4 linked regions of the Drosophila melanogaster genome follow. The gene in region 1 interacts genetically with each later gene. Each region holds a gene or a part of one and is shown on either strand. Other genes may lie near its edges.

Region 1 (9,680 bases):
ACCAGCAGCAACTAGCGGCAATCCACTTGACCAACTCACTGGAGGCCCAGAGCCAAATCACCGAAGCGTTGGATTTGTAACGTATTTTCCAAGGCGGCAGGGGACACTTCTTCAATTGTTGCGATCGTCTTCCTTCTCCTCATAGATGGTGGCTGTGCGATAATGCGCATTTTCCCAGACAATTAAAGCGAGGGAACCGCTCGTCATTTAGTGGCAATACTCGTAGGACAAAAAGATGTTGATCGCCAGAAGAGATATATTTTCTCCTTGATAAACGCAATTCGAGACACTGGGCTAGATGGGCACCTCGGTAGTTGTGGCTCAACAAGGAGTCGTTTTCCACAATCTTGGGGTTAGTCAAAGGAACAATTGTCGCTCTGAAAGAAGCGGAGTATTAAAATGCCACCTAATGCTGCGTGCCTTTCGTGTTATCCTCAATGTTTTAGAAAAAAGTTGGAACTTCAGGCATAATTTTTAAGTGAAGGGGACATAAAAAGACTTTTCTAACAGTTTAAGGAGAGTTTAATCATTTATCTATTTATTTATGAAAAACCTCCCAGCTCTCTTGATTTTAATGAGCATATGTTTCTTGTTCTTTTTAAATTCAATTTGCCGAGTTGTTGTTACAATAATTTGGTGTAGGATAAAAAAAAAAAAAAAATAACCCAAAGCCCTTTGCCAATTTTTGGGAATAGGCATTTCTACCCTGCCAGCCGCTGACAGCGGCGAAATTAATAGTGCCAGCCATTTTTTCAGCGGCTTTTCATATTCAAATTACATTCCCAATTGATTAATGGTTGAATATTTGCATAGGGATGATGCGTGGCCATATGTGATGTGCTTAATTAGGGAGGGCGGAGTGCATTCCACATATGTACATACGTATGCATGTTTATATCTCTTCGGGGGCACGCGATGCAGAATATTTGGAGGACAGATGGGCAGCAGACACCCCCGCTCATTCGCTGCAGGATCAGTATGCTAATTTGGCAGGAATTTGTGTTTTTCGGGTTATACCACGCGACAAGGACGTGGAACACACCGCACGCGATAAAGTCCGCGGCTAGTTTCTCGATCCTATCGAGATCGGACTAAAATTAGAGCGTCGGAGGAGGGAGGGGGGAATTTCTAAAACGGGAGCAGCATTTCGCGCAGCTGTAGGCGTAAATTAAAATGCATTTTACGCAACTGTGCGACAAGATCCGGGCTTTAGATCCTGCAGCTGTTGCCCCTCGTACTGCATTTTCCTAATGGCACGCTCTCAACACTTGAAAAGGACACACCCCCGCCGCTCGGAAAACTGGTATAGGATAGCTCTCTGTTTTTCGTGGAAATTTACGCATTTTCATGCTCGACTACCGTTGCACAGAACAGAAAGGGAACCCCGACCGAAAATAGATTAGCCGCTCTCAAAGGATATTGAACCCGGCCAGGACCAAGCGACACCGAAGGACTTCGCCGTGGGTCAGTTGGTGTTGGTTTGTGGGACAACTGCCGAGGGGCGCGTGCCACGATCGGGGTTTTTGGGCCAGGATAATTGCCTCAAGTGCCGACAGATTGATGACCAGCAAACTCATTGAAGTATATATTTCAATTTCGAGCTAATGGCTTAGAAGTTGATGAAATCGGAGAGTAAAGAATTATTAAATTTAAGTTTTTTGAACACACATCTATTAAGAGGTTGTTCTACGTTTGAAATATGTATTTGCTAAATTAACTTTCAATCGATATTATGTCACTCACAAAAACGAATATTCCAATATATTTTATTTATTCAAAATATTGTGAATATTGCTTTATTTATAGAAGAAGGGAACACAATTTTTGAATTGTTTAGAAAAATAAGAACGATCTATTAAATGGCATAATTCAAAAATATCAAGTTTAAGCCATATACATGTATAAGTTACTTTTAAGTTTGACCAGTACAAAGTATATAGGAATTTATAATGGGGAAGCCAAGCTATATTATAATGAATAATTATTATTATTATAATGAATAATATCAAGATATCAGGGTTGTGCTTGCACCACAATTATGAAAAATAAAGTAATGACCCAGAAGTCTGTTATCATCTATTTATAAGCAGTTTGAAACAAATTAAAACCCACTTTAAATTTTATCAAATAAATATATTACCAATATACATTTAAATTTCGAACATTACATAGCAAAAAAATGTCAATTGAAATCAACAAATTTTTGAAAATGCGAGCCATATTTTCATTAAACGAGCTTGTATTTTTTGAACCCGAACCGTTTTTTTTTTCAAGTTTAAAAAGAATTAACTAACTCTAACAAAATCTAATATTTCAGTCGGTGTAGTAAAAACATAAACATAAACGATTTCAAATGTATCCTGAATACGCGGTAAACTTGTGTTTACCAACACCGCCTCTTAGACTATTCAGGCCTGCCAGATCTCCAAAAAAATATTATTTAGATAAGTTAGTGACACAAAAGGTTTAAGTCTTAACTGCGCTTAGCTGGGCTTTAAACCCACTGCCTATTCTTTGCTAATTGGAGTATTGCAAATCAGTTTTGAATCTGATTTATTTGTCCCGCTTACCAATTTTAATTGTGTAAATTCATTTGGTTTTACTTGGCCAACTTACAAATAATAGAATAATAAAAATGAAAGCCGTCTGTTTAATTATTAAAATAATGTGAATTAATTGGATTATTAATCTGGGCGTTATTATATAGAAAAGAAACCTAACTAACCAATTGCGGAAATATCGATAGCATCGCAATAAAATCTATATTGTGCCACCTCCAATTCACACAGGTCGGTCACACTGGGCAGGCTTGCCAATTTCAAGAGCCGCGGCCACACTACTGCGAATTCTATACTGCAACTCGATCGTGCGTGTTCTGTATTTTTGGGAGTGCGTTGTTAGAAATTCGGCCACAAATAGAATCCGCTGTCCTGGAACGAGTCAGAAACCACGGGAAATTGACTTCCGGACTAAATAGCGTTCTTGTGTGTCCATCCGTGTGCGTGTGTCCGCATTCTGCAGTGTGCGTGTGTGCGAAAGAGAGAGGGCGAGCGGTGCAGCCGCAACTGGGAAATTCGATTGCCAATATTTCAGCAAGGAAGCTATGTCGAGCGGTCAGCAATTGATGGCCGATTCGCCAGCCTGCAGCTCAAGTGACCATTCGCCGCTGGCCAAAAAAAGGCGTTTAGAGTTGTTGGGTGACGGAGTGGGGGCAATGGGAATGGAAGAGGAAGAAGCCGGCGGAGCAACGAGCAGCAGTAGCAGCAACAACTACGAAAATCACGACAAAGCAGGCGGCGTTGACATTTCGGGCAAGTGCCAGAGCAAGACGACTAGCGAGCACCAGCTGGAATTGTGCGTATCGTCGTCTACCTCTGACACATGCGGCGTTAATGCTGCGGCGAAGCGAGCCGAAAAGCAGAAACTGAAACAGAGCCAAGGAAGCGGCGACGACGTTAGTACCTCGTCAGCAGTGGAAAAGGAAGGAAGCAAGCGGCCGGAGAAGCGCAATTACCTGAACACCACCACAATAGAATCGCAAGAAGCCTCCTCCAGTGCATCCGCCACTAGCAACAGCAACAACAACGTCAGCTCCAGCAACAATAACAGTAATAACAGCACTAATAACCGACAACTGGAAGGAAGCAGCAACATGGCTGGAAACAGTGCCGCCGCCGGCGGAGATATCGATGAATCGCTGTACTCGCGCCAATTGTACGTCCTGGGTCACGATGCGATGCGTCGGATGGCCAATTCGGATATCCTTCTGTCGGGACTTGGAGGACTCGGCCTGGAGATAGCCAAGAATGTGATTCTGGGCGGCGTGAAATCGATCACCTTGCATGACACAGCAACTTGTGGGGTATGTGTGTGGGGCGAAGAAAAAATCGATAATTTTCCAGGCGGACGCGGGAAATGCCCGGAAAGGCTGACTTGGCATCCCTGGTCTTAGTGAATCATTCAGTTTTTATTTGATTTATTTATCATAGACTTCGCGCGAAATAAGGTTAGGTTAACATCTCTATTTGCTTGCAAAAAATTCGTTTTGTGTGTGTAATTCGGTTTTCCTTCTTTTTCTATTTGCCTCAAAATGTCTGCGCCATGCGAAAAGTGTGTGAGCGGGACAACCGTATGCGCATCGCTCGCTGCCGTTGTGTTTGCATTCCCCTTTGCTCAACGCATTCGGTTTTGTTTTATGCACTGAAAGATTCAACTTAAGATCTATGAGTTTCTCATAAACCGTAATATATCAATTATTTAGTTAATAGCCTTTCAATTTAAAGTTTTCTTGTATCATAAAAACTTTTTTGTTCTAATGACAAATATGTCTTTGCTGTACACTCGGCACAGAACCAATTTTCCTTTGTTAGTCATGGCTCCCGTCTGCTAATTTCATCACCGTTGATATATAATATTAATGATTATTCGTTTGTCTTGCAGCTCCATGACTTGTCGTCGCAATTCTATCTCACGGAAGCCGATATCGGCAAGAATCGTGCGGAGGCCTCTTGCGCCCAGTTGGCCGAGTTAAACAACTATGTGCGCACCGTTTCGCACACGGGGCCGCTTACCGAGGAGTTCCTGCGCAAGTTTCGCGTTGTGGTACTGACCAACTCCGACGGGGAGGAGCAGCAGAGGATCGCCAAGTTTGCCCATGAAAATGGCATTGCTCTGATCATCGCCGAGACGCGCGGACTGTTCGCCAAGGTGTTCTGTGACTTTGGCGAGAGCTTTACCATTTACGATCAGGATGGCACACAGCCGATCTCCACCATGATAGCTAGTATCACGCACGACGCACAGGGAGTCGTCACCTGCCTGGACGAGACGCGCCATGGTTTTAATGACGGTGACTACGTCACCTTCTCGGAGGTGCAGGGCATGCAGGAACTGAACGGTTGTCAGCCCCTTAAGATCACAGTGCTGGGACCCTACACATTTAGCATCGGTGATACCAGCAAGTTTGGAGAATATAAGAGCGGAGGAGTGGCCACCCAGGTGAAGATGCCCAAGACCATCAGCTTCAAGCCCCTGGCACAGGCCACTGAGGAGCCGGAGTTTTTGATCTCCGATTTCGCAAAGCTGGACTCGCCGGCCACGCTGCACGTGGCCTTCAATGCCCTCTCCTGCTACCGCAAGGCCCATAATGGAGCCTTACCGCGTCCCTGGAACGAGGAGGACGCCAACAGCTTCCTCGAGGTAGTCCGAGCCAGCAGCAACGCGGAAGTCGACGAAAAACTGGTGCTGCAATTCGCCAAAATCTGCTCGGGTAATACGTGCCCGCTGGACGCGGCCGTTGGTGGAATTGTGGCCCAGGAGGTGCTTAAGGCCTGCAGTGGAAAGTTTACACCCATCTACCAGTGGTTGTACTTTGACGCCCTGGAGTGTCTGCCCACAGAGGGTGTCGAGGAGGCGGATGCCCAGCCGGTGGGCTCGCGCTATGATTCTCAGATTGCCATATTTGGCAAGAAGTTCCAGGAGAAGTTGGCTGACTCGAAATGGTTTATTGTCGGCGCCGGAGCCATTGGTTGTGAGCTATTGAAAAACTTTGGAATGCTGGGCCTGGGAACTGGCAATGGCCAGATTTTCGTCACAGACATGGATCTCATTGAGAAGTCGAATCTGAACCGGCAGTTCCTGTTCCGCCCGCATGATGTGCAGAAGCCTAAATCAATGACGGCCGCCGACGCTATCAAACGGATGAATCCGGAAGTGAATGTCACCGCATACGAGTTGCGCGTTGGCGCCGAAACAGAGAAAGTCTTTTCCGAAGATTTCTTTGGAAAGTTGGATGGTGTAGCCAATGCGCTGGACAACGTGGATGCTCGCATATATATGGATCGCAAATGCATCTTCAACCGCATTCCGCTCGTCGAGACCGGAACTCTGGGAACTTTGGGCAACGTTCAGGTGATTGTGCCCTTTGCCACCGAATCTTATAGCTCCTCCCAGGATCCCCCAGAAAAGAGTATTCCCATCTGCACGCTGAAGAACTTCCCCAATGCCATCGAGCACACTCTGCAGTGGGCGCGTGACGCCTTTGAGGGCGTCTTCAAGCAGTCTGCAGAAAATGCTGCTCAGTACATCGCCGATCCTCAGTTCACCGAGCGAATCGCCAAGCTGCCTGGTATTCAGCCTCTGGAGATCCTCGATTCCATCAAGGTAAGGATAGAATTTACTTCTTTGCCTAATATGTTGTACTTAATGGTAATTTATTTTTACAGAAAGCTCTGATCGACGACAAACCCAAGAGTTTCGCGCACTGCGTGGAGTGGGCCCGTCTTTATTGGGAGGATCAATATGTTAACCAGATTAAGCAGTTGCTCTTTAACTTCCCACCTGATCAGATCACCTCCAGTGGTCAGCCGTTTTGGTCTGGTCCCAAGCGGTGCCCCGATCCCCTGGTCTTTGATGTCAACGATCCCATGCACCTCGACTTTATCTACGCAGCCGCCAATCTTCGAGCTGAGGTCTATGGCATTGAGCAGGTTCGCAATCGCGAGACGATCGCAGAGCTGGTACAGAAGGTTAAGGTTAGTTGTTCGAGATTAATACCGTCGGGGACCATTTCTGATATTATTGATTTATAGGTGCCCGAGTTTAAACCCCGTTCGGGCGTGAAAATAGAAACCAATGAGGCAGCAGCCGCCGCCTCGGCCAATAACTTCGATGACGGCGAGTTGGACCAGGATCGCGTTGACAAGATCATTTCAGAGCTGCTAAAGAACGCCGACAAAAGCTCCAAGATCACGCCACTTGAGTTTGAAAAGGACGACGACAGTAACTTGCACATGGACTTCATTGTGGCCTGCTCAAATCTACGCGCCGCCAACTACAAGATTCCGCCAGCGGATCGCCACAAGTCCAAGTTGATTGCTGGCAAAATCATACCTGCTATTGCCACCACCACGTCGGTGCTCTCTGGATTGGCTGTGCTCGAGGTGATTAAGCTGATCGTCGGCCACCGGGATCTCGTAAAATTCAAGAACGGCTTCGCCAACTTGGCATTGCCGTTCATGGCCTTCTCTGAGCCGCTTCCTGCCGCCAAGAACACATACTACGGCAAGGAGTGGACGCTGTGGGACCGTTTTGAGGTGACCGGGGAGCTGTCGCTGCAGGAATTCCTCAACTATTTCGAGGAGAATGAGAAGCTTAAGATCACCATGCTCTCGCAGGGCGTGTCCATGCTGTACTCGTTCTTCATGCCCAAGGCCAAGTGCTCTGAGAGACTGCCGTTGCCGATGTCGGAGGTCGTGCGTCGCGTGTCCAAGCGTCGCCTGGAGCCACACGAGCGATCCCTGGTTTTCGAGATCTGCTGCAACGATGTGGATGGCGAGGATGTGGAGGTGCCCTACGTCCGTTACACGCTGCCCTAAGCCCGTCTATATTCCTAATTTAACCATTAAATTATTTTACGATCCCGTTTTGTTGTCGGCGACGCGTTTTGGAATCGCGCAGCTCCAACGAAGGAGTTACTGTCTAGCTGTTTGCATTTTAATTTTCACAACACCATTACGAGAGCAGCCCAGATCTAGAAATTATATAAAATGTGTGTGAATCCTCTAAGGAATGGCAAAATAATACGCATCATACGAAATACAAAGACTCGACTAAAAGCAACACTTAAAATGCATCTGATGAAACTCTCTGCTCAGCATAGTTGTAAAGGTAACGAATTACGAAAAACCGAAGGCGGATTTTAATCGCATTGATTAATTGGAAATTGAAAACTGAATGAGCCAGGCGGAAAATTTCTCTTCACTCATATATTTTTTTTATATGGAAGCATAAACTAATTACGTCATTGTATTAAAAGGAGTAAAGCAAATGAATAAAGCTGTATATTTCATATGGTAATCGACCTGCTAGACGACTCAGATAATTTCGTTCAGCACTTGACGTCTGGTAATCTCATTTCCCCCGCCACTTCGGAAATTAAAATTGTAATGCATACTGCTCTGCCAGTGAAGTATATAGGGGATGCCATCTATCCGTACGCCAGTCAGTTTCAGAAAGTTACGTGACACAATTAAATATTTTATGCCCTCTCAAGACGTTTATACCACCCCCGCCCCGCACCCAAGGAGGCTGCTGCCACCAAAGTGCAATTGGCAAGTGCCGTAAAGTTGCACCGCTCATGGAAAGCGTTGGGCGGAGTGGCGGCGTCCTCTTATAATTAAATATTACACGCAATGCAACTGAAGTATGGCCAAAGTTATGCAGTTTCGCATCTCACTCTTGGCCTTTTGCGGCTTTTTGGCAAACTTGCTTGAATTATGCAGTTAATGAAAACAAAGCGAGGCGAGGAAAGTGGCTGCGCCGATCAGCTTTGTATCCGTCGAATAAGTGTGTTCTGGGCAGGGTAATCAAAGTTTTGGGTTTGTAGTTCGACTCCTTAGGGCTCTGATTGTTAGCATCTAAGTATTTAAGATTTACATATAAGATCGTCTTATTACTTAGAGCTTACTTTAAAAAGATGAGTGAACAAACTATTTACAAGGCAAAGTGGAAATGCTGGGTCAGAATTAAGATTAATACCTATCTAAATTTGAGGTGAAAGTAGGTGACTAAGTTTTCAAATAGAGCTGGGAAAATTAGAGATACATTACAGGAGTACCACAAGAGATTTAGAATATGAATATTCCTGTTCTAACACCACATTACAGTACATTTTTATGTTTTTTAAGATTAGTTTCTCAAAAATGAACAGACAATTTTGTTTTATGAAAAGAGTAATCCAAATATTATTCCATATTATTCATTTCGTTCTATTGGTTTTGTTAAGCTGGACTTCTGAATCACTGAAATGTAAAGACTTACATGTACATTTTTCGATCGTACATTCATATGTGCATTACGTACATATGTGCCCATTAAAATGCTTTCTTTGTTGCGACTGCGTATTTTGCGTGATTCGCGGGGATGAGCCCATAGATTTAAATCTCCCCGCTCTTACGTATAGAGTGCGTCAGCTTTTGGTACGAACATCTGCCTAGCGCCAAAAAAAACCAGAGGCTGTTGACTCACGGGAAAAAGAGTGTCACTGGGGAGCTCTTCTGTCGTCTTTTTTTTGTTTTTTTTTTTTTTTTTTTTGTGAACCACTCATCCATGACCGCTTTCAGGTGTAAAAAAAGAAGAGTTTCAGAACAATACTCGTAAATTGTACACCGAATTTCGCTCTTATCTCGACTGCTCATCAAGCTAAAAGCTCGTTGTTAAATTCCCAAAATTTGTTAAATTTGGGATAGGGCATAAAGACTGCGAGCAGCGGCGTCCTAAAATGAAAATCTTTTGTTTGATGCCCAATACAACCTGTTGGCAAATGCGCAAAGTATGCCATTTTTTGGCTTTCCGGTTGACAGCTTGGCATATTTTTATTCAAATCGGATACGGAATTTTAATATGCACTTGTTTCTATATTAATTGCTTGTTTTCTCTTGCCATTGACTGAATGCATTCAATAAATATCCGCTTGGCCGTGTGACACTTTCAGAGCGATAATGAGCCAAACTCCAAAAGTGATTAATGGACCTGCTAAATGGAAATCACTCCCAGATGGACACATCAAGGCGAGACGAGAGCAATGCACGTGTCCAGGGAAAGCGGAGAATCGCATGCACTGGATGCATATTTTAATTAATTACTCGGACACATTTACATCTGCCTGCGGATGGGGATGG
Region 2 (7,151 bases), on another chromosome or scaffold:
AGGCGTACAAATACGAAACTTCTTTGAAAAAGTATGGAAAACATGGCTACTGTCTTTGTGTATCCAGAAACTGCGTGCTATTGAATTTATAACACGCAAACGGTGCTGCCTCAAGTTGATTTCATCACCCCCATTCAAAACACTGTTATCTGAAAACCCCACCCATTTTTAAAATGGCCTGTTCAATCGCGCATTTTTCAAGACAACACATTACTGTTTATTTTGCTTTTTTCTGGACACTGACAGCCAATTCGACGACACAGTGCACTCATATTACGCTTAATCAGTTTCGTATCCAAATATTTTGTATTTATTTTGCACTGCCTCGAGTAATTGGAGTTGCGAACGGGAAAGATATACAAATAATATAATAAAGGCGATCTAAAAACATAAGCAGAGCTGAGGGAAAACAAAAAATAAATCACAAAAATCGAGCCCCTTTTTTCCGATTAATCCCCGTTTTCTCCGCCTTCACGTACTTTTGTTCTTTTCGCTTTGGACTTCTTCGCTTGTTGCATGCTCGCTCATGTTCATGTTTTTTATGTCGTTTTGTGCAAGAGTGTGCTTGAATTTCGTCATCTTGGGAAATCCTTGCATAATGTACATATTCATGTATGTTCATCCATACATACTTACGTACATACATTTGTCGTCGAGTCGTTTAGCTTACGTGTTATCGCACTTTATCGGCATATTTTTGACCTCAATCTTAGTTTATTAAATAAAGAGAGTTTTTGGGTGAAAACAAAAAAGGTGTCAGGTAGGGCTAAAATCATTTTTGATTTTAAAAATTTAAGGTAATCATTTAAGGGATATGAACAAGTATAATAAAACTAGATTAAATGCAAGTGCATTTTCTTCAGAATTTTCGACGGGCCTCTTTTATTTTGAAATATGGGCTATTAAACTAGTTTTAGGTCTAGAATCTAATTTGTTTTAAATTATATTGCGAACATTTTATAATACCACATTATTAAGAGAGCTACTAGAGCTACATAGATACAAAGCTAATAAATGGATCTAAAGTAATGCCAGTTACGAGAATTATTTGCCGTAAAATTTAAATTAAAAGCCAAGAATTGTTTTACGCGTATTTCGTAATTTTTTTCAAGCGTTTTCGCGCGCAAAGTTGGGAATGACAGAGAAGGAAATAGAGAGAGAGAGAGAGAGAGAGAAAAGGAGAGGAAAAAGCCTGTTTGTATAATGTGTGGGAGGGAGAGGGGAAGATGCAGAGGAAGACAAGAGTAAGAGCGAAAACAGGTTTTTCATGTTGCACAGTCAATTTTTGATATATGGTGAAATTGATTAAATATAGCCAACATCCAAATCGGAAATGTAATTAGCTAAACTCCTTATCGTATATTCAAAAACACGTTTGAAATGTTTAATGTGAATGAACGCCAACTAAATAGTCTTTATTACATTGCTTGAATACCCAAAATATAAAACAATTTAATTTATTTTATTAAATACAATAAACTAGCTAATCATTCTCTGCATAAATGTACATACATACATACATATGTACATTCATTTAGCCAGTAAAACCTGAGCTAAGCAAGTTGGATCCTTTGTTAATCATGTTGCTATTTTTCAAATTTATATTCAAAAAAAAAGTATTGAACATTATAAAATTGTGAACTTCCCTTCTCAAAATATTTTAAAATGTGAGAAAGTAATCAAGCTTTGTCTAAAAACTCCCTTTTTTCTACTACCTTTTTAACTCATTTAATCCGCTCATAGAATATACTCCCATTTATCATACTCTTTCTACTCCGGTTTTTTGGCCTCTTAAGAACGCTTGCTCTCCCTCCGCTCTCTTGTTTAAACAAATACAAATCAAAACCGAAAGCAAGAGCAAAGTGCAATAACGAAAACCACAAGCAAAGAGTGTTGTACAATTGCAGTTTTTGTTTTGCTTTAGCGTTCGCTAGGCAGCGCAGTCGGATATACTGCCTCTTCGCTACTTCTGATGAGTTTTCTTCTTCTTCTGAATTTACCTGCTCGACAAGATCTTTGTGTACCCACACATACACGCGTACACAGCCTGCCCACACACTCTTAGTTGAAACGAGAAAGAACGTTTTGTAAGAGTACCAACTGAGACATACCCTTCACATTGTTTGTGCATCTAAATATGTACTTTATGTTGTAAGTAAATATGAGTTATAAAATAGTGTTACTTCAGCAATTAGTGCGCTGGTACAATATTTCAGTTTTTTCAGTATGCGAAAGCCAATCAATTAAATTTTTACAACCTTAAAATCTAGATATGTTAACTATGCTCCTTGATGCATTTATGTAGACGCAATTCATGGTCCGAGTATACTCTTCCTCACTCAGCTATTACAGGGTAGGTAAAGAGCGGGATTTTTTAAAATATTTTTTTTCTCTCAAGTGTGCCTCCTTCATGCACGTGCATGTGCAGGAGAGGGAGCGAGAGAGATTGCGATTGCACTGGCTGCGCGCCTACGCTGCCGCTCTGCCGACGTCGCGGTAGAGGCTCTGTTGCCGTAGTTTGAGGCCCCAGTGCGAACAGTTCATTTTTAGCCGCGGAGCCAGTAAGACGTGTTTCCTGCCCTCTTTCTTTGAGTCTGCGACACGTTTTAAGTGCTCTTCCATAATTGACAACAGCAAAAGCAAAGAATAAAAAAATAACAAAAAATAAAAAACGAAATCCATCGTGAACAGTTTTGTGTTTTTAAATCAGTTCTAAACACGAAAAGGGTTGATGAAAAACGCAGAAGAATCCGAAAAACTAACTAACCGAGCAAAAACTTGACTTGAGTGTTGTTTGACAAATCAGGAAAGATAAAAAACAAATCATAAGAAAAAACTGCACGAAAAATGAAAAAGTTTCTAATATTCAAAATCTTGCACAAGAAATACAAAATCAATTAAAGTGAACTCTAACCAAAAGTTGTACACAAAATAAAAAGCAAAACAAAGCAGCGAAGAACAATCACAAGAAGAGCAAAGTGCCAACAAAGTGCAGGAAGGAAGGAAGCGGATAAGGACAAAAAGGAAGCCAGCACACACACACACCCACACAATGGCCGTGCCCTTTTATTTGCCCGAGGGCGGCGCCGATGACGTAGCGTCGAGTTCATCGGGAGCCTCGGGCAACTCCTCCCCCCACAACCACCCACTTCCCTCGAGCGCATCCTCGTCCGTCTCCTCCTCGGGCGTGTCCTCGGCCTCCGCCTCCTCGGCCTCATCTTCGTCCTCCGCATCGTCGGACGGCGCCAGCAGCGCCGCCTCGCAATCGCCGAACACCACCACCTCGTCGGCCACGCAGACGCCGATGCAGTCTCCACTGCCCACCGACCAAGTGCTATACGCCCTCTACGAGTGGGTCAGGATGTACCAGAGCCAGCAGAGTGGTAAGTCTACAAAGATCTCAATTCTCCACTCTTAAGAACTTTGAAATTGTGTGGGTTAATCAGGATATCCATTTAGTTTACCTCAAATACATTTGCAGATACAAAAATAAGTTTCGATTCATATACGGTTATTAATTGCGAAATGTTTAAGAAGTTCCCACACAGAATAACTGCTTACGCATGTTGGTAATATATTTTCTAAAATGCTTATAACCAACACTTTATTTAAGCCCACTTGTTTTGCTATTAACAAGAAGGATTTTCATAGGATCTCCTTGTAAAAGTAAACAAAAAATGTTATTAACTTGAAATTGCTTAAAGAATAGTAAATTTATTTCTTTCGAAAAAACAGCATTTTAAATGTTTGAAGATATTTTCAAACTAATAGATTTGATCAATAAAAAATGGCGAACAATTTTTTTCTATACAAGCGACTTTAAAGGTTTCATATTTTTGATTACCGCTTTTAATATCATTTAGTTTAGTTTAAGAAAGTTTCTGGACAGCCGGAGGGTTTCCCTCATTTTAAAATGGGTCAGCAATTAGCCAAGTTGTGACGTTATTTGTTAACTGCTTCAGTTCCCCTTGTGCAAGTTTCACTTTTCAAGGTTGTTGATTCATCCAGTTTCGAGTAACTGCGTCAACTGCATCCAGGTTGTTTTTGTTTACTTTTACCCAGTTTTTTTTTTATTTTATATATGGTCAATTCAGCACTTTGTCAGCTTATCAGCAAAAAAAAAAGTGTAAAAGGCAGAGCGGAAGGCAAATTTCTCGGCCACATTCGAAAGGAAGCCGAAAAAACGGTAATTCAATAAAAATTAATCGAACAAGTTCAAAAAGGGGAAAATTGAGAAGTAATTGAGAAGTTTCGATTGGAGGAGAGAGCAAACTTAATAAACGAAGTCACAAAACTGCAAAAACTCAAAATCATGTGGGGAATTACTGGATCAAATTCCCAAAGTGGGAATCTTACAAATTAAAAAATTTTGTATTGAGACAAAAATCTACTTATGTTATAAATAAATGAAAATAAAGTAGAAATGGTGATAACTAGCTCGATAAATCACATTAAGATCAATTTCCTTCGGTCATGATTATCTAAACTAGGCTGATAAAACTTTTAGTGTGCTATGGCTTTAAGAAAGAAACGCCGAGACACATGCAAGACAACTGCCGAGTTGGCTGTCATGCGATATTGTTCGTAAATATGGTCAAAAAATTGGGCGTGTGCTGGACCAGCAAGAAAATAAAGACCTGGCTGAAACCAGGGAAACATAACCCAGCGGCAATAAAACAGAGCTGGGAGCACAGAGCTAAGCACGTTTAATTGGCACGCGCCAAACTCGAGTCGAATGTCTTACTTTTGAGACTTTTGAGTGAGTGTGGTGTGCCTGTGTGTCTGGGTATCTGCAAGATATCTATCTATCTCGAGCGTACTGCTCGTATATCTTACCACTCGACTAACCCAAATTATTAAACGCCATTTGACCTTAGGCAACTAGTTTTCCGATTTTCCAAAAGGGGGCCAAACGGGTTGAGGGTGTGGGCCATTTGCAAAGTGTTTGACTTAACGGTTGTTTAAGTAGCTTTTGTGCTCGGCCACGTTGAGTGCGGTCAGTTTTTATTGTTTTTCTTTTTTTTGCGCGCGCGCTTTTCATGTTTGCTTTGCGGTTTTTCATTCGCGTTCCTTAATTTTGTGTTGCCTTTGCATAATAGATTTTGTCGCTGTCGATGATTGCCAGCTGCGCTCTTTGGTTCCACCGAACAACCGAATTGTTACTTTATATTATTTTGCTGTTTTATTTGGTTTGTTACCTTTTTTGCTGTCAGCAACAGTTGGTCAGACGAAAAAAAAGCGTTCCCTTCTCGAAATTACAGTGAGTCACTTTTGGGCGCTTCAATCTGTTTTCGTCTATAATATCATAATTTATACAGAGATACTTTTTTTTCGCTTACGAGAGCTGATGCCCAGTGAAAATTCGATTGCGGGGCATTTATTTTGAAAAACGAGCTAAAAAGACTTGACGTTATCGTGAAAGTTTCGATTTAAAAGTAATTTTCCCTTATCTCATTTTCCCGAACCACATCTAAGCCCCTACTCAACGCACGCCGATCATGTACTTTAGTTAGCCACTCAAGAGGATAATTTATCTAATCGTGACACATCCCGAAACTAGTGAACAATGCTTGAAGCCCTTGAAACAAGAAAGGGATAAACTGTAGTTAACCAAGAAGCGAGAACCCTTTTTCCTGGTTCCCCCAGCTATGCCATACATACACACATACATGCAAGCCAGATTCACGGAATACTTTTAGCCAGAAACGCGCTTAGTCATCAGCCAGCTATCAACCCTAAAAGCCTAAAAATGCGAGGCGCAAACAACCCCGACAAAAATTCCTAAATACCAACAGAGCTTTTCCCTACCAAAAGCAAAAAAAAAAATGCGGCAGGGAGCCTTTTGTTTTGGGAGAGGATTATGCATACAGCATCCAGAGCCCACCACGTAACCCATTCCCAATGGCGACCAACAAAAGGTGCAATGACAGCAGCGGTTCCCTAATCAGTGATGGGAACAGGTACATTTTATCTGTTGGCTAATTGGATGCAGATTAAAAGATGCGTAAACCTAGCGGTTATTATGTAAACTATTATGGACTATTACTTTTTTGGTTCAACATTTAGTTATTAACATAGATTTTTGTTATCATAGATAATAATATGTACCTATGTAGGTACAGTGCAGAGTACAAAAATGTTCCCCACCGTACTCAACTCCAAGTTTTGGTCGCTCTGCTTTGGCTTGCAAATTCGCATCATTCGCTTTGCTGTTGCCAACAGCTGTTCTGCTGCTAGGCGTTGTTTTTCGCTGCCGGCGTCTCTGCCGCACTTGACATTTTCAACCATTTTGTTTTGCTCGGCAACTTCGTGTAGGTGGACTTTAGTAGAAAAGAGGAGCCATAATGGCGGCAAAAATGGCGACTCCTGCCGCATCCTGCCTGGCAACAAAACACAGCTGACTGCTGCGCAGATAGAGCGAGATGAAGCCTACGCCTGGAGAAAGAGAGGGAGCGCAAAAACTCCGATTAACCGCAAGTTTTGAACTCCTCTTTTTTCTGCACAGCATCACAAAGGGGGTGGGAAAATAGGAGGAGGGTTGGATGGGAGGAGGTTTGCCTCCGCTTTTCATCATCGTCATTTCCATCTCGATTTGCTTGGCCTGTTGCCAAGCTGATTTATACGTACAGGCGGCTTTTTATATTTTACATACTTTGCATTGCTTTTTTCTGTTTCTCTCGTTGTCTGCTTTATTTTTTCGCTTTTCGTTGGTATTACGGCTTCGCCTTTACATTGACCGTGATTTTTGGTTTCCTTCTGGTTTTGTTTTCGATTTTTTTATTTTTCCCTTGCAAATACATATGCAGCTTTTTTTTGTTGAGTTGCGTCCTCTGTAATTGTTACATTTCATTTAAGTTTTATATTGTCTTACAGCTCAGTTTTTTATGACTTTACTGCTTTCATAAATTTGGCATAAACATTCTTGACGATCTGCCCGAAACAGCTGCGACAAATCCAATCGGAAGTCTTTACTCGAAAATGATTCGCTCATAAAAGTTGAGAGTGGGTTATGAACAAAAAACTTGAAAACCAGCTGTCAAACACAATTTCTATCTGAGCCCAAAACTTTTGAAGAAATAGTTTCACTAAAAATACACTTCTAAAAAGGTATAAAATTTATTTTATTAGTATTTTGGATTGCCAAATATTTC
Region 3 (6,906 bases), on another chromosome or scaffold:
AAACTGTTACTCCGATGTATTTGACAGACTTTCCATAAATCCTTGAGCGTTTAGACAATTTGAACAAATAAAATTCTATCAGCAGCAAAAAAGCAAACGCCTGCTGTGATCAACCTTCAAACTCAACACTAAACATAAATAATTGACTTGAGATCGAAACGGAGCACTTTAATAATGAAAAAAATCACTAGATAACCATTTAGAGAACTAAGAGAACGGAGATTTCGTTGTAATCAGATGAACACAAACTGCATATATTATATATATATATATATATATTTGCATTACAACTAACTGATATGAAGAGTACGACTGAACTCGTAGCTAATATTAATGATAATTTTCGGCATGTTCCCCTGAATAAAATTTTATATTTATTATATCAGCGATCAGTAAAATTTTCGAAAGAAATATGGTTAAATTTAATACGAAACCCTTAAGGAACCACGATTAACTCGCAGTACGCACCCTGGGCTGAATGTAAATCGGGTTGTCACCTAAATGATGCACAAACGACAAAGGAAACTCCTTAAAATAAAAAATTCAGTTCGTACGTGATAATAGGAACTTTAGAATGCAATATTCCTGACCTACATACATATATATGAAAAATCAATGCAGAGCCGCAATCGTTGATACATTTAAAATGGAACCACTGCCAGCTGGCAAGTTTCTAAAAATTGAATAGTATATGCGTGCCATGAACTCAGCTTTCCTGCTCCAGAATATCGGAAAAAAGTGCACATACGTATAGGATATAAGCGTAAAGGGAATACTCACAGTCTGTCGTCGTCTCGCCGGGAGAAACCCCGATCGCGGTCATCCATGTGGTCACGGCCACCGCCGCCACCTCCTCCATTGTTGCCACCATTGCCTCCTTGTACGCCGCCACCGCCGCCTCCACCACCACCACCATCTCGCACAATGCGTCCGTATTGATCGCGCTGCTCGCCGTGATCCTCCTTGACCACCAGTTCGCGGCCATTCACCTCATAGCGGTTCATTTTCTCCAAGGCCTTCTGTACGTTCTCCGGATCCTTGAACTCTACGATGCCACAGCCGCGAGCCTTGCCGCTCTCATCGAAGAACAGCTGGACGTACTCAATGGAGCCGACGATGCGGCGGAACAGATCCTTCAGATCCTGCCAACGGTAGTCGTATGGAATGTTCGAAATGTAGACCCGGCAATTGCGACGTTCCCGGCTACGGTCGCGAGCAGCGACGCCACCTCCCTGACTACCAGCGCCGTTTCCATTGCCATCAGCGTCCGTGAAACGGGAGCCACGTGCTCCGCGTCCACGACGGTCGCGCTCCTTCTCGCGGCTCTCCACCGAGTTACTAGCGTCCATGCTCATTGTTGTCTGCAAGGGATTCGCAATGCGTTTTGTAGTTCTTGCAATATTCGTAGTAGTACACACCCGGAGCGGCGTCCGCGAAAACAAAATGGCGACCGCGTCAATCGACTTTTTCGCCAAATGTTCTTTTCTATGCTAGCGTTATGGCTTACCTTTTGATGTTGGCTGTGCTCTTAATACTGGTAATATTTCTATTTTGCTGCTTTCGGCGTAGTAAATTTTATACAATGAACAAACGCTTGTGACAAACTACAGTTTCCGAGATCAATAGAAAACCGTACAAAAGTCTATGTTAGAGTTGACAGTGATACGATGACAGCACATTCATCGATGGTTTGATATTTGGACGTGTCTCAGATTTCTATCGACTAGACATCGCCGATATTCGAAAATGCTCTTCGAATTATCGAAATGTAGGCATACTGCAATTTACGCGCGCAACGCAAAAATTCAAATAATAGAATATTTGGCTCAACAAGACAGGAGACTTTAGATGGAAAAATAGAATCCACAAAAGCAAAACTATGGAATAACTAAAACCACTTTTCATAAATAGTACACACAATCGATTTATTTCGTTTCTTTTTGTATGGCAAAAATTAATACAAAAAATTAAATATTAAATGTATGTATGTATGTATAAAAAGCTTAAAGCAAACTATATAATGTAAATTTAATTGGCTGTTTGTTTTCTCTCCGATTGATCTGTCAGTATGGTAAGTAGAAAGAAAGGCAAATCTCAAGAACTCATACGGATTATAATTTCATCATCGTAGCACCACAGATATGTGTTTAACCGAACATAAATCTAGTTTGGGGCTAGCGAATTTACTCGTTTGTGCGAAAGTTGCTGTGAGCTTATCGGCTTTTGCTTGTTTGTTCTCTAATGATGAATACTAATGGAATTCTGCTCGTGCGTGTGTGCGAAAAAAGATTACATTTATGTATGACTGTCGGGTTGAAACCAATAGATAACAGGGCTGTAAAAATACACAATATTTGTTTACATCGCGTTTCGGTTTTAAGCACGGAGTATCTGTTGAAGTACAAACAACATAGAATCAAGTTAAGTGCTGGTTGAAAACAAACGGATATAGCAGCTGAACCAAGGCAGTTACAACAGTATTCATAGTTTTTATGTAGAGGTACATATTCATTTTCATTTTCGATTTGCTTCGTTCGTTTTTGTTTGCTTGTTATTGTTAATACTCTTAAAAGGGCGCCTCGCAGCCTTTCAAACGACACAAAACACACACATTCACAAAATCATTTCGACGTACATAAAACTCTAGTTACTTAAATTAATTACAATTTCTCTTCTTTTATCTGACAATTGCACCGACCAACACGCTCCCACATGTGTGTGTTTTTCGCATTGTGTGTCCAAAATGGACAAACCATCGAGCCCAGGACGATCGGCGATTCGCCGACGCACATACAGACAAACAGGCGACATTTGAAGAAATAAAAAGTGAATAATAACCAATGCGTGGCCGTTTAGAGCATTTTACATTTAAATCTACGATTCGGCTTGTTCATTTTGCGGCCCCTCCGCCCCTTGTTGTCCTTGTCCTTGCGGATTTCGCGCACCAGTGTGTAAAATGCATCGTCCACGCCCATGCGCGTCTTGGCGGATGTCTCAATGTATGGAATGCCGTACTGTTTGGCCACCTGAGAACAACCATAATTAACGGAATGTTCGCTCGGAACTCTGAAGGCCGGTACTCACCTCTCTTGCCTGCTCGTTGTTAACGTTCCACGAGGCCAGATCACATTTGTTGCCCACCAGCACCATGGGCACCTCTTCGGCATCCTTTACGCGCTTGATCTGCTCACGGTAGGTGCCGATATCCTCGAAGGACTTCGCACTGTTGACGGCAAAGACCAGCAGGAATCCCTCGCCAGTCCGCATATACTGATCCCGCATGGCCGAGTACTCCTCTTGGCCGGCGGTGTCCAGGATGTCCAGCAGGCAGGTCTCTCCATCTGCAGGGGAATATAAAATGCATTTGAATATCGCAACTTCTTAAGGTCTCTTCTAGTATAAACGGGAAACCAAACCAGCGAAAGGGTGCAGAAATCTCTAGAGTATTTGGACCTGTGCAGCCCTAGCTTTGCCAGATCTAAGTACATATAACTCACCGATAACCACTTGCTTTCGGTAAGAGTCCTCGATTGTGGGGTCGTACTCGTCCACGAAATGGTTCTGGATTAGCTGGATGGTGAGCGCGGACTTGCCCACGCCTCCGGCTCCAACGACGACCAGTTTGTATTCCGTCATTTGGCTGTGGCGTCCGTTTTCGATTTGCCGTAGTCAAATGTCACAGTAACAGTCTCTTTCTCGCGATCGATGCTTACTCTCTTGTGAAGCGCCCGCAGATGCAGTCTCTCTCTCCGTACGCTTGTTGCGTGTGTTTGTGTGGGTGACTGTGCGTGTATGGGCTGCAAGTGGAGTAAATTATTAATTAAGATTGATTAAAATAAATTAAACGCATAATTAGGCAGGAATTAATGCACGTCACTGAGTCACTGTGACTAGGCGCTTACTCGCACAAACACACACGCACCACTGCATGCACACAGCCAGACGGGCAACACAAAAAAAAATGGGAAAAAGAGATCAATGACTCAAACTAAAATTAAAACCCATTCGCTCAATGCAAATTAGTTAGTCTCCCCCATAGCCGAGTTGTTAACTAGGTGAATTTGCTAATTCGGCGGCGTTGTTTTTAGCCCTTTTCTTTATTATTTTTCTTTTGCCTGCCGGGGCTGCGGACCTTCTTTGTTGCTGCCTCTTCAGCTAGCTCCTCCTTGTTTTTCCGCTCCGCTCCTCTCTATCAATACTCTGCCTCTCTCTTCTCGCGCGCGGCGCAGTTGCTGGGCACGTTTCACGTCACTTTCGCGGCTAACGGTGCGACAGGCGGTACTCCTCGATGGCACCAATTTAATTGCCGTGCGGTAATTGCAATTAACAGCGCAGGAAAACAATAAATCCGTATGTGAAATGAAGATGAAATCTAGGCTGTACGTAGCTGTGAAGATACTAGAGCTGGCACCAAGCCGATGGCACTATCGATAGCGATGGCTGCATTCTGGCCGGCACCATCGATGGACTTGCAATAGCGATTGCTATATGAAAACTAATCTAAAGAGGTGGATGCACTTCAGTCGACTCTCTATAATTTGCTTAAACTAATAAATGATTTGATCAATACAGCTTTCTGTAAAAACTGGCAGACGCTTTCTGCTTTTAATAATTGTTAATTTAAGTTCAACGGGCTGGCATCACCGTTTCTTAGCACGGACTCAAGCCTGAGTCTATTATTTCAACCACCACTGTAACGAAAACAGCATGGACAGATTGAAATTCAATAATTTGGTAAATAAACGATTTTATTTAAAATTATAGAGTTTTAATTAAAAAGAACTTTTACAGGTGATATCCAACAAGAAGGTCATTCAAAAGGCACGCGCCCAGACCATCGCCAAAATCGTACAAAAGCTGCGAAAGACAAAAGAGGCTCTGGCCAAAAATCCAGACAGTGAAAAGGAAAAGATTCGTTTACGCAAGAACACAGAATGCCTGGCCCAGTTGAAGGCTCTAAAATATATGGATATGGTACGCCAGTCGCTCCTGCAGGAGGGCACAAATCCCAATGCGGTGATTGCTAACGAGCGCTCCACGCCGGATGAACTGGGCATTGCCATGCTGCGGCTAAACAAATTGATGCACGGACTGGTGGACAAGTTTGTGGAAACCTTGAAGCTGAGCACCACCGATAAGGAGGCCAAGTGGCGTGAGGAGATCCTAGAGACGAGCAAGCGAAGGGCCAAAATAGAACGCACTGAGGAGCGGAAGAGGAAGCGCAAGGAGCTGAAGGAGCAGAAGGCCCAAACCAAAAACCGACTGGAGTGGTTAGAGCAGAACAAAGTGGTGGATGCAGATGTTAATGGAGCAACTGCGGAAACGCCCACTCTTCAAGTCAGCAAAGTAAATGATCAGGAAATACCACAGTCTTTTGCAAAAACTGAAAATTCTCCAGTTCTCAAAGTCAAAAAGGAAAAGACACCTAAAACACCAGCCAAAAAAGAAAGAAACCTTCAGAAAAAACAAGCTTTTGATGAGCAGATCAACCCGGAGATAACTAAGCTCAGTTCCAAAAAGCAGAATTTAAATACAATCAAGGAGAATAATGCAGAGCCACAACTAGAAGGCAGACCGAAAGAATCTAAGCCAAAACCCTTCGAGAAAAAACCAGCCAGAGAGCAGAAGCCTAAGCCACGATTAGAAAGGCAGCCAAGTATCGATGAAGAAGAACCACAACTTGACAATAATCGTCCCACACATGTCGTTGATCCCTTCTTCATTACGGAATCAGGCCAGCCCTACTTGTCCAGCGCCGTGGTTCTTTCCGGGGACAATGACAGCGAAGCTGATGAGGAACAGGCACCGCCGCCAGTCAAAAGGTTCCGCAATGAGGATCGACGGTCGAACACATATCGGGAGAAACCGGAAAGACAGCCAGAGTTCAAAGCGAGAAAGCCAACTGATGATCGTCATCCCTCCTGGCTGGCTAAGCAACAGCAGAAACCAATCATTGGTGATTTTAGAGGCAAGAAGATTACATTCGGCGACGACGGCCAGGCGGCGGAAATTATTGCTCCAAGTATCAATCAATTAACCGCTACTGCTGCTCCTTTGCCCACCGATGGCATGCACCCGTCTTGGGTGGCCAAACAGAAGTTTAAGCCGAAAATTGCCGCGTTTCAGGGCACAAAGATTAAGTTTGACGAAGATTAAAGATGATGTCAATGGTATTTTGTTGTTTTAATAACTAAATAACTGCAGCTTTGCTGCTCACACGCCAACTTTGGGCACATAGTGACCACGAATCTTGTCCTCGTTGCGCAGCTTGTCCACGTTGACATCGGGGAACTGGCGACGCAGCACATCCAGATCGAAATTGGGGTTGCGACGCAGGATCATCATGACTTCGTTGCGGGAGCGGCTGCAAAATAACAATTTTTATTGAGATATCCCATTTAACTAAGGGCAACATACTTCTTGGCCTTGCGCTTGGCATTGTAGAGTTTCTCCCTGTACTTTAAGAGGAATCTGTTCACAGCTCTGCCGCCGTAGCCAATGTTGCGGGATTTAATCCATTTGAGGTTCATGAAGGGCGGCAGGGCGTGTTCGCATGCTTTGTATGAGACCTGCAGGCCAAATGCGTTCTTCACCGCCTTCTGGGGCCGTTCACCCGTTTCACCTGTTTCCAGCAGGTGATACGCCTTGTTCCGCTCCCTCACTACTGTCTCCAGGTTTTCCATGGAGATTTTCACCTGCAATTCTAAAGTTTTAGAAAAGGATCTCCACCATCAAATATCGCCCACCTTATCGATGCGCTCCGGACTAGGGAAGACTTCCATTTTGTCATTGCACTCGTGCTCCATGGTCAGCAGCATGTTGCGCTCCTTGAGGAGCACGAACCACAGCTGGTGCAGCTCCTTGTTGGACTTGATACGCAGCTCCTCCGTCCGCCAGGCGCGGCCC
Region 4 (6,810 bases), on another chromosome or scaffold:
TGGGCGCATTTTAGATAAGCATTTGGTTGGATGATGACTCATCGTCTTCGAGCACCAGGCAATCGTTACTCCACACACCGAGCCACTTTGTTTATCTTTCTATATGTGCGATGCGAAATTTTTTGGGATAAACAATCTGCAGATTCAGATGGAGAATAATCCCCGTAAGCAGTATGCACACACAATATCTGGCCTATTGCCACAGCGAAAATTCTGGAAAACGTGTTATCTGCAAAGTGGGCGTATAAATAAGATATAGCCGCAGATAGAAAAGATTCCCATTTTCATGCGAATTGAAAAGCTCCAAGGAATCCAAGTGCGGCAAGTGGAAAGTTTTATGGCAGCAGCCCGGCACTGATAAGACTGGTTGGAACTACGTATCATAAAAGGTAAGTTGGGACAGTGATACCTCGTTGCGCGGAATCAAACTTTTTGTATGGAGCATACGTTCTGCACAATAAAATAAAATGGGAATTCAAAATTCATTTGAAATATCAATAAAAATAGTTAATAATAAAATACAAAATATTGTGGGCGTAGAATTTGTATGTCCAATAGCAAAACCTTTTAGCTTTTAAAGTTCTAGCGATCTCGACGTTCATACATATGTTAGCAATAATACAATTTATTTAAATAAACCATAAAAGTGTTGGCATATAACTTTATAAAAATTCGCGTTCTTTGAGTTGGACACACCAATTTGAATATTAGTCATGCACTCTGTGGGGGGAAAATTTGTATGGGCATGACATCAAAGTTGGGATTGTTATGCCCGTAGAGCTTTGGTTGGGGTCACTACAATTTCCTCGGCCCTTAGTATGGCGTCCAAGCATTTCTGACCACTTCGAAAACCGACGATTGCAAACACCCAAGCGCGGGTGTGCTGCCTTTGTTGTTCCTGGCTGTTCTTTTCGCTTTTTGCTTTTTGCTTTCTGCTGCTTCGACATTTGTGCCAGCCAGCCGCGTTCATTTTATATTTTTCTTGTTCAATTTTTTATAAACAACGCACACACTTACGATTGCCCTGTGAGAAACGAGAGTCGTTTGTGGTATTTGTTTTTGTACTCATAAAAGTTTAATAAGCATGCCTCAGTGTTCTTTTCCTCGTGGTTGTGTGGGTGTACGCCGTACATCGACAATGGAAACCTCGCCGTTGCACCACCCCCAACCGAGCCCAAAGTGAGCCCCCCCACCACCACCACTTTGCCACACCAAGTATTATTTAAGTAATCATTTATCGTTGCTGCTCGCCTGACATTTTGCACGATGTTTGTCGGCTTTTGTTTCGTCTAACGAGAAACACCGGATCGATTGGGTTATATTGAGCTAAGTAATGTGTCGGCACACGGTTTCTTATCACCACATAATGCTCGTTCCGCGAACAGATCAATGTTTGTTGTCACACTTGCCCCGATGACCTCACTTATCTGTTCATAAATCCCACCGATCTTAAGCTCATAAAATATGTGCTCAAGTCTATTTGTCAAAAAATAAAGTAATTAAGGAATATTTGTCCAAACTGTCATCTGCAATACAAATACAATCATGGTTGGGTATCACTCAGTTATCAGTCTTGTGTTGGTGCTCAATGGTTCGAAAAGTGATTATTCGACTGAAGTCAGTCAGGTTATCAAACAATACAGCTACCAAACATTGTCTTTTATTGCTTAACTGTAAAGTCTTAGCAAAATTCCAATAAATGGGACTCCTTATCAGCGGAGTGCAACAAAAGATTCGCAGAAATGTATTAATCCTCTATTGAATCCATTTTTTACTGCTCTATATTACTTATTTGTTTTTCAAAAACTAATTAGCATTAGGGTCAATATTTCCATAACCAATGATTTGGGTTTTTCAAGTAATAAATAAATATGATCTTTAATTTTTTAATAATAAGTACAGCTTTGATTACGAGCTAGACAGATTTTCGGGTTTCAAACTTGATAATTGGGCATATTGACAAAAATATTTGTAAAATACGTTGTAGTAAGTTCCTCAAAGTAACTTCCTCAGAAACTATAGATTGAAGTTTTGATTCGCTAGTTCGGGGGCCATCTACTACCACCAGAAAAGCATTTTGCCAGCGATAAGCAGGCACAATATGTGTAAGTACAGTAGGCCCCCAATCTATTGAAGGCGCAGCAGAGTGCTCCATTTACGACAATGAAATGCAACGCAATAAACGACTTTGATAACGAGGTGTCAATGTAACAAAGTAAATAACGAGAGTCGCCGATAAGAAGCCGGCTTGATTTGCGCTTGAGGATAGTGATTCGCATAATAGCGCAATAATTAGCACTGCCTATATCGAAGATCCAGAAATAACTTTAAACACATGTGGTGGACTGGATTGGTGGCGATAAACTTTGCTGCATAAATACATATGTTCAAATCTGACGGGAGTGAGTTCCAACACGATATAGAAGAACTAATTGGGGAAACGAACTTTGAGCACCCTATAGTTTTAAGTATCGTGGCATTTAGAGTATATCTGTTCATTCGAATCTATATACAATATATTTTCAATATATAAAAGCCACATTACTACTTTATTTCAATTCAGGGTGAACTTTAAATGTAAAATATAGTTTCTCAGACCGTAAATACAATTCTGAATAAAGTACAATATTATATTGTATCTCCCTTTCATCTATAAAATTAATGATTTTAACCACTGTTAATAAATAATGGTAGTTATATAATGTATGCGTTTTATTAGTTGACATAAACGAAGAAACCCCTCTGCCAACTAACCTATGTAAGTTGACCGTCCACCTGGCCATTGATTGGAGGACCCACTATGACCAATGATAATCTACGGTGTCCACAGCAATGCGATCGGGTTTATCAAATGTGAAACGCCAAGGGGTTAGCTAACGTCGGCGTCGCTGACAATCGTAATTTGTCCGAAGTGGTAGAAGCCAGCCGGGTTATAGCCAGGCCAAGAAGTCATGGTGGAGAGAGGGGAAGCCCGCGACGGAGGAGGGGGCAGTAAGCGACCGACGACAGCGAGCAAGATAAAAGTGTTGAGCGCGCAGAAGTCGGCGACGTATGAAAGCAAGAGTAGCATGTGAATATGAGAATGATAGGGCCCCGTACGTCAGACACTTGAAAAAATAGTGCTAGAGTAACAGTTAAATATGTGTTGCCAAATGTTGTGATACCAGGTGTTGAATCGGGCCCCAACACATGGGATTAATTTACCAATGCCTTATACAAAAAATTGTATTATGTATTTATACAAAAAAGCTTAATTTTTTAAACAGAGGACATTAAATATATATAATTTTTAGTTTTATAGCCTCGCTTTCTCGCTGTGCAAGGGAGCGAGTGGGACGGTGAGATGGGGAACAGCTAATATACTCGATATCAGTGTTGTTGTTGCTGCCATTTGTGCTATTGCACTCGAAATTCTTGTTGCCTTTGTTTTTATGGGCTTTCCAGGAAACAACAATGAACGGGGAAGAAGAAGACCGGGAAACAGGAGCGTGAAGAACACATGTGCATGTGTGTGGGTATTTTGTTGATGTATAAATAAAGCGTCAAGTGGAAACACATGATGATGGTGCATCGAATTTGTGGCCAAAAGGCAGAGAACCTTCGTGAAGGCCTTGCGGAACCACCACACGCCCACCCACATTATTTGCGCAGTGCACATTTGCAGCGGAGTCCTCCCACCCACACACGCATTTATATACGTACCCCCCACCACTCGTAAATTTGTTGCTCTTTTTCTCCTATTTCTATTTACCTTTGGTACACAAACACCAACGCACAACACTGTGTAAACACACACGGCTGGCTGGTATCGGTTAGTTTGTATTGGTACGCCTGCCGCTGTTGCTCTTCGATATTTTTTATTATGTATTTGCCGTTTTATTTTTAAATCGCGCTGGCTTCACGCACACACAAACATTACACACACGACGCAGTGCGAGGGAGACGGAACGCACATGCACACCCGCACACGCACTGAGAATTTAGAAAAAAAAACTAGAGTCTCGACCAAAGGAAATCCTATCAGTTAAACGAATCCTTGAAAACAAAGTGCACTTGCAAAAGAATTCAACTGGTTGCGCATTTGAAAATTGCTCCGCATTCGAACAATTCCCTATAGTGGCTAAAAAACGACTGCCGCGTCTCTAGAGTTGGAGCGAAAGCGATCCACATGCGATACTATCGGACGATGAACACATGTGAACAATCGCTGTTAACAGTGGGTATCGATTCTGATAAATCTCTGCCAAACCGGGAAGATAGGAAATTCTAATTAGAAAATAAGTTGATTTAATTTTATAGAGCAGCGCAGTAAAATATTGTTAACAACCAGGGACCAAAGCTCGATAACTATGGTAAAACAAAATTTTTGAATTGTTATTACTTATAAATTTTTGACTTGGAATGCACATAATTAAACAAATAGCATTTAGGATTTTTCGTAAAGATGTTCTAAAAGAAACATTAAGACTAAACAAGTTACGAAATATATATCTCTATCGTGCTAATATTCCACTAAACTTTGTGAGTTAATTAAAGAAAAATAAGTTGATTGAAGTTATTATTTAGAAGTAAAATGAATTTGATGGTGGAAAACTCTGATAACCCGAAGTGCAACCCTCGCACCCCTGTTAAGTTAACAGCACTGTCGGCTGCTAAAGAATAAACAATTTGCGAAGCTAATTGCGATAAACAAACATTTATCAAAGGGGGTTTACACCCATTTTCGCATCATTGTGGCGCCGCAGATATGAGTGCGCATGTTGTCTGTACACACACGAGCTGCCACCCACACATATGCACCGCTGGCGGTGTAATTAATTGCATTTGATTGATTTGTCCACCGAAAGTCAAGGTTACCCCAGACGCAGAGAAGCACAATTAATGGTCTTTTGCCAACTCTTGTGTATTCTGCATATAAACATACGCGACTTCTGAATTTTCACCTGTTGTGCGCAGCAACAAGCGAGCATGAGAATGCCACCCCCGACCCTCTTTAAATGAAGAGGGTTGGTGCTCGGAGAGGGGTTTTTTTAAGGCTGTGCCCCGTCTAATCAATAGGCCTTAAATAATTAATCCATTCCACAATCGGCGCAGCACAGCAAATCACTCACCTTTCAGATTGCCTTTTTGGTTATGGCAGGTGTTGGGGGAAAAACGCTTTTTATCCTTAAAACAACACCGCCTGCAGCTCACGGCTGTTGGGCCACCTAATTCCAGGGCAAATAGTCTTAATTATCACTTTTAAAACGCACTAAATTTACGTTGTTTTCGTTTTGCGAGCACTCGAATTTTTGCGAACGCGACTACCAGCATATTTCGATATACAGCACCCCCGCAAAAGATGTTATCGCGTAATCGCCGGAGGTGCCACCTGTCACAACCGATGGCGCGCGTTTTAAAAACGATTGAGATAATCGATCAGTTAAACAATTTTGTAAATTTTAATAATAAAAACACACTAACATACAAGAATTACATAGTATATGCTGGTGTGAACACCCTCAAATTCATGACTATTTTAACAGTCGCAGCGCCTTGACATTGAGTTGGCAATACACAATATACAAAATGTTCGGGTAAATCGTAATCATTAATCTAGGAGTGTTATTGTCAAAGCAACACCATTGAATACGAGGTCCTGGGGAGCAGTATGTGCCAGGCGAGTCATTATTCAGACAGTTTATTGGCTGATATACTTTCGGCTTACGGCGATAATAAATCAATTACGGTTAATAACAAAGTTAAGCGCTTTCGGGTGTCTTCACTTCATCGCTTCTCTCCCTCACAACTAACAGCTAAAAAATATCTAACAATTAGAGCATGTCGGTGCTTCACTTCTATTTCCTCAGCTCATCCATCGATCGCGAGACTTAAGATCAAAGCAGTGCGTTTTTGGTGTGGTGTTTATGGGTGACGAGTGGCAGGGGCAGGGAGCTGGGCTATTTCTCAACCCGTCTCAAGTTGGCCAGCTCCGTGAGCCACGCCTTGATCAGATCGTAGGTGGAGAAGCTGATGCCCACGGCGATGGGTCCCTTGATCCAGTTCATGCTAAGTCCCTTGTAGAAACCGTTCTTGACGCCCTCCTCACTGTTTGGAAATCGTAATTAAAATCGCAATTAAAATATGAATAAAATCGTTGACAAAGATTTGCACGCACCGATAGATCTTGACGAGAGTCTCCAGGATGGTTGGGTACCGATCTCCGCCAGCCGTGTTCACCCGCATTGTCTGCATTCTTCGCCGCACAATGTCCAATGGATAGCTGGCCGTTTGCCCGGCGGCACCAGCCGCAGCACCGAAGGCCAGCGAGACTAGAGTATTGGGTTTATTGTTGCCGACCACTTCTGCAAGCAAACAAGTCATTTAGTTGGCAAATTCAGTGAGCACTTAATTAGAATATAGGTAACTTCTACTAGCATAATCAAAATAATGACAATGACCCAGAATGCCGGTTTAAATTGAAATTATCTGTATAATTCCACAATAAACTTGGGGCTTAAAACCGAATTCTATGGACATATACAATATACAAGAATTTTTAAATGAACATCTCCCCTAAGTCTATAGAATTTTATATTAGGATATAGGTAGTATTCCTACCATAGTATTCCCGCTTAAGAGTCTCGTAGGTGAAGAAGGAGGTGCCCGCATAGGGAATCACGCCGAGAACGGTCGCCCAGTAGCCGCGGAACAGCGTCCGCGGACCCTCCTCCACCCAGATCTTGGTGAAGACTTGTCGCAGCGTCCGATAGCCAGTATACCGATCCGTGACGGCCATGCGGGCGCGTGCCAGGTCCAGAGGATACGTCA

Evidence for each region.
Region 2: of Uba1 (region 1) and hid, changing one suppresses a phenotype caused by changing the other (phenotypic suppression), as found in Drosophila melanogaster (3 studies listed by BioGRID).
Region 3: of Uba1 (region 1) and Ras85D, changing one suppresses a phenotype caused by changing the other (phenotypic suppression), as found in Drosophila melanogaster (2 studies listed by BioGRID).
Region 4: of Uba1 (region 1) and Stat92E, changing one suppresses a phenotype caused by changing the other (phenotypic suppression), as found in Drosophila melanogaster (one study listed by BioGRID).

Annotation. Positions count from the first base shown.
Region 1 is NT_033778.4:9,686,464-9,696,143, reverse strand, and holds Uba1 (ubiquitin activating enzyme 1), read left to right. Parts: upstream 1-2,815; 5' UTR 2,816-3,103; coding exon 3,104-3,862; intron 3,863-4,440; coding exon 4,441-6,162; intron 6,163-6,224; coding exon 6,225-6,533; intron 6,534-6,590; coding exon 6,591-7,376; 3' UTR 7,377-7,855; downstream 7,856-9,680.
Region 2 is NT_037436.4:18,181,024-18,188,174, reverse strand, and holds the start of hid (head involution defective), read left to right. Parts: upstream 1-2,533; 5' UTR 2,534-3,052; coding exon 3,053-3,383; intron 3,384-7,151.
Region 3 is NT_033777.3:9,508,656-9,515,561, forward strand, and holds Ras85D (Ras oncogene at 85D), read right to left. Parts: upstream 4,413-6,906; 5' UTR 4,133-4,412; intron 3,798-4,132; 5' UTR 3,637-3,797; coding exon 3,498-3,636; intron 3,342-3,497; coding exon 3,085-3,341; intron 3,027-3,084; coding exon 2,853-3,026; 3' UTR 1,906-2,852; downstream 1-1,905. Other genes in the region: rump (rumpelstiltskin), read right to left, coding at 781-1,355; Rlb1, read left to right, coding at 4,708-4,734, 4,792-6,156; mRpL47 (mitochondrial ribosomal protein L47), read right to left, coding at 6,214-6,364, 6,418-6,695, 6,747-6,906. UniProt on the Drosophila melanogaster protein: Ras proteins bind GDP/GTP and possess intrinsic GTPase activity. Plays a role in eye development by regulating cell growth, survival of postmitotic ommatidial cells and differentiation of photoreceptor cells.
Region 4 is NT_033777.3:20,546,970-20,553,779, forward strand, and holds the start of Stat92E (Signal-transducer and activator of transcription protein at 92E), read right to left. Parts: upstream 4,139-6,810; 5' UTR 3,752-4,138; intron 1-3,751. Other genes in the region: DPCoAC (dephosphocoenzyme A carrier), read right to left, coding at 5,940-6,087, 6,158-6,344, 6,601-6,810; att-ORFB (uncharacterized protein), read right to left, coding at 6,615-6,810. UniProt on the Drosophila melanogaster protein: Might play a role in signal transduction and activation of transcription.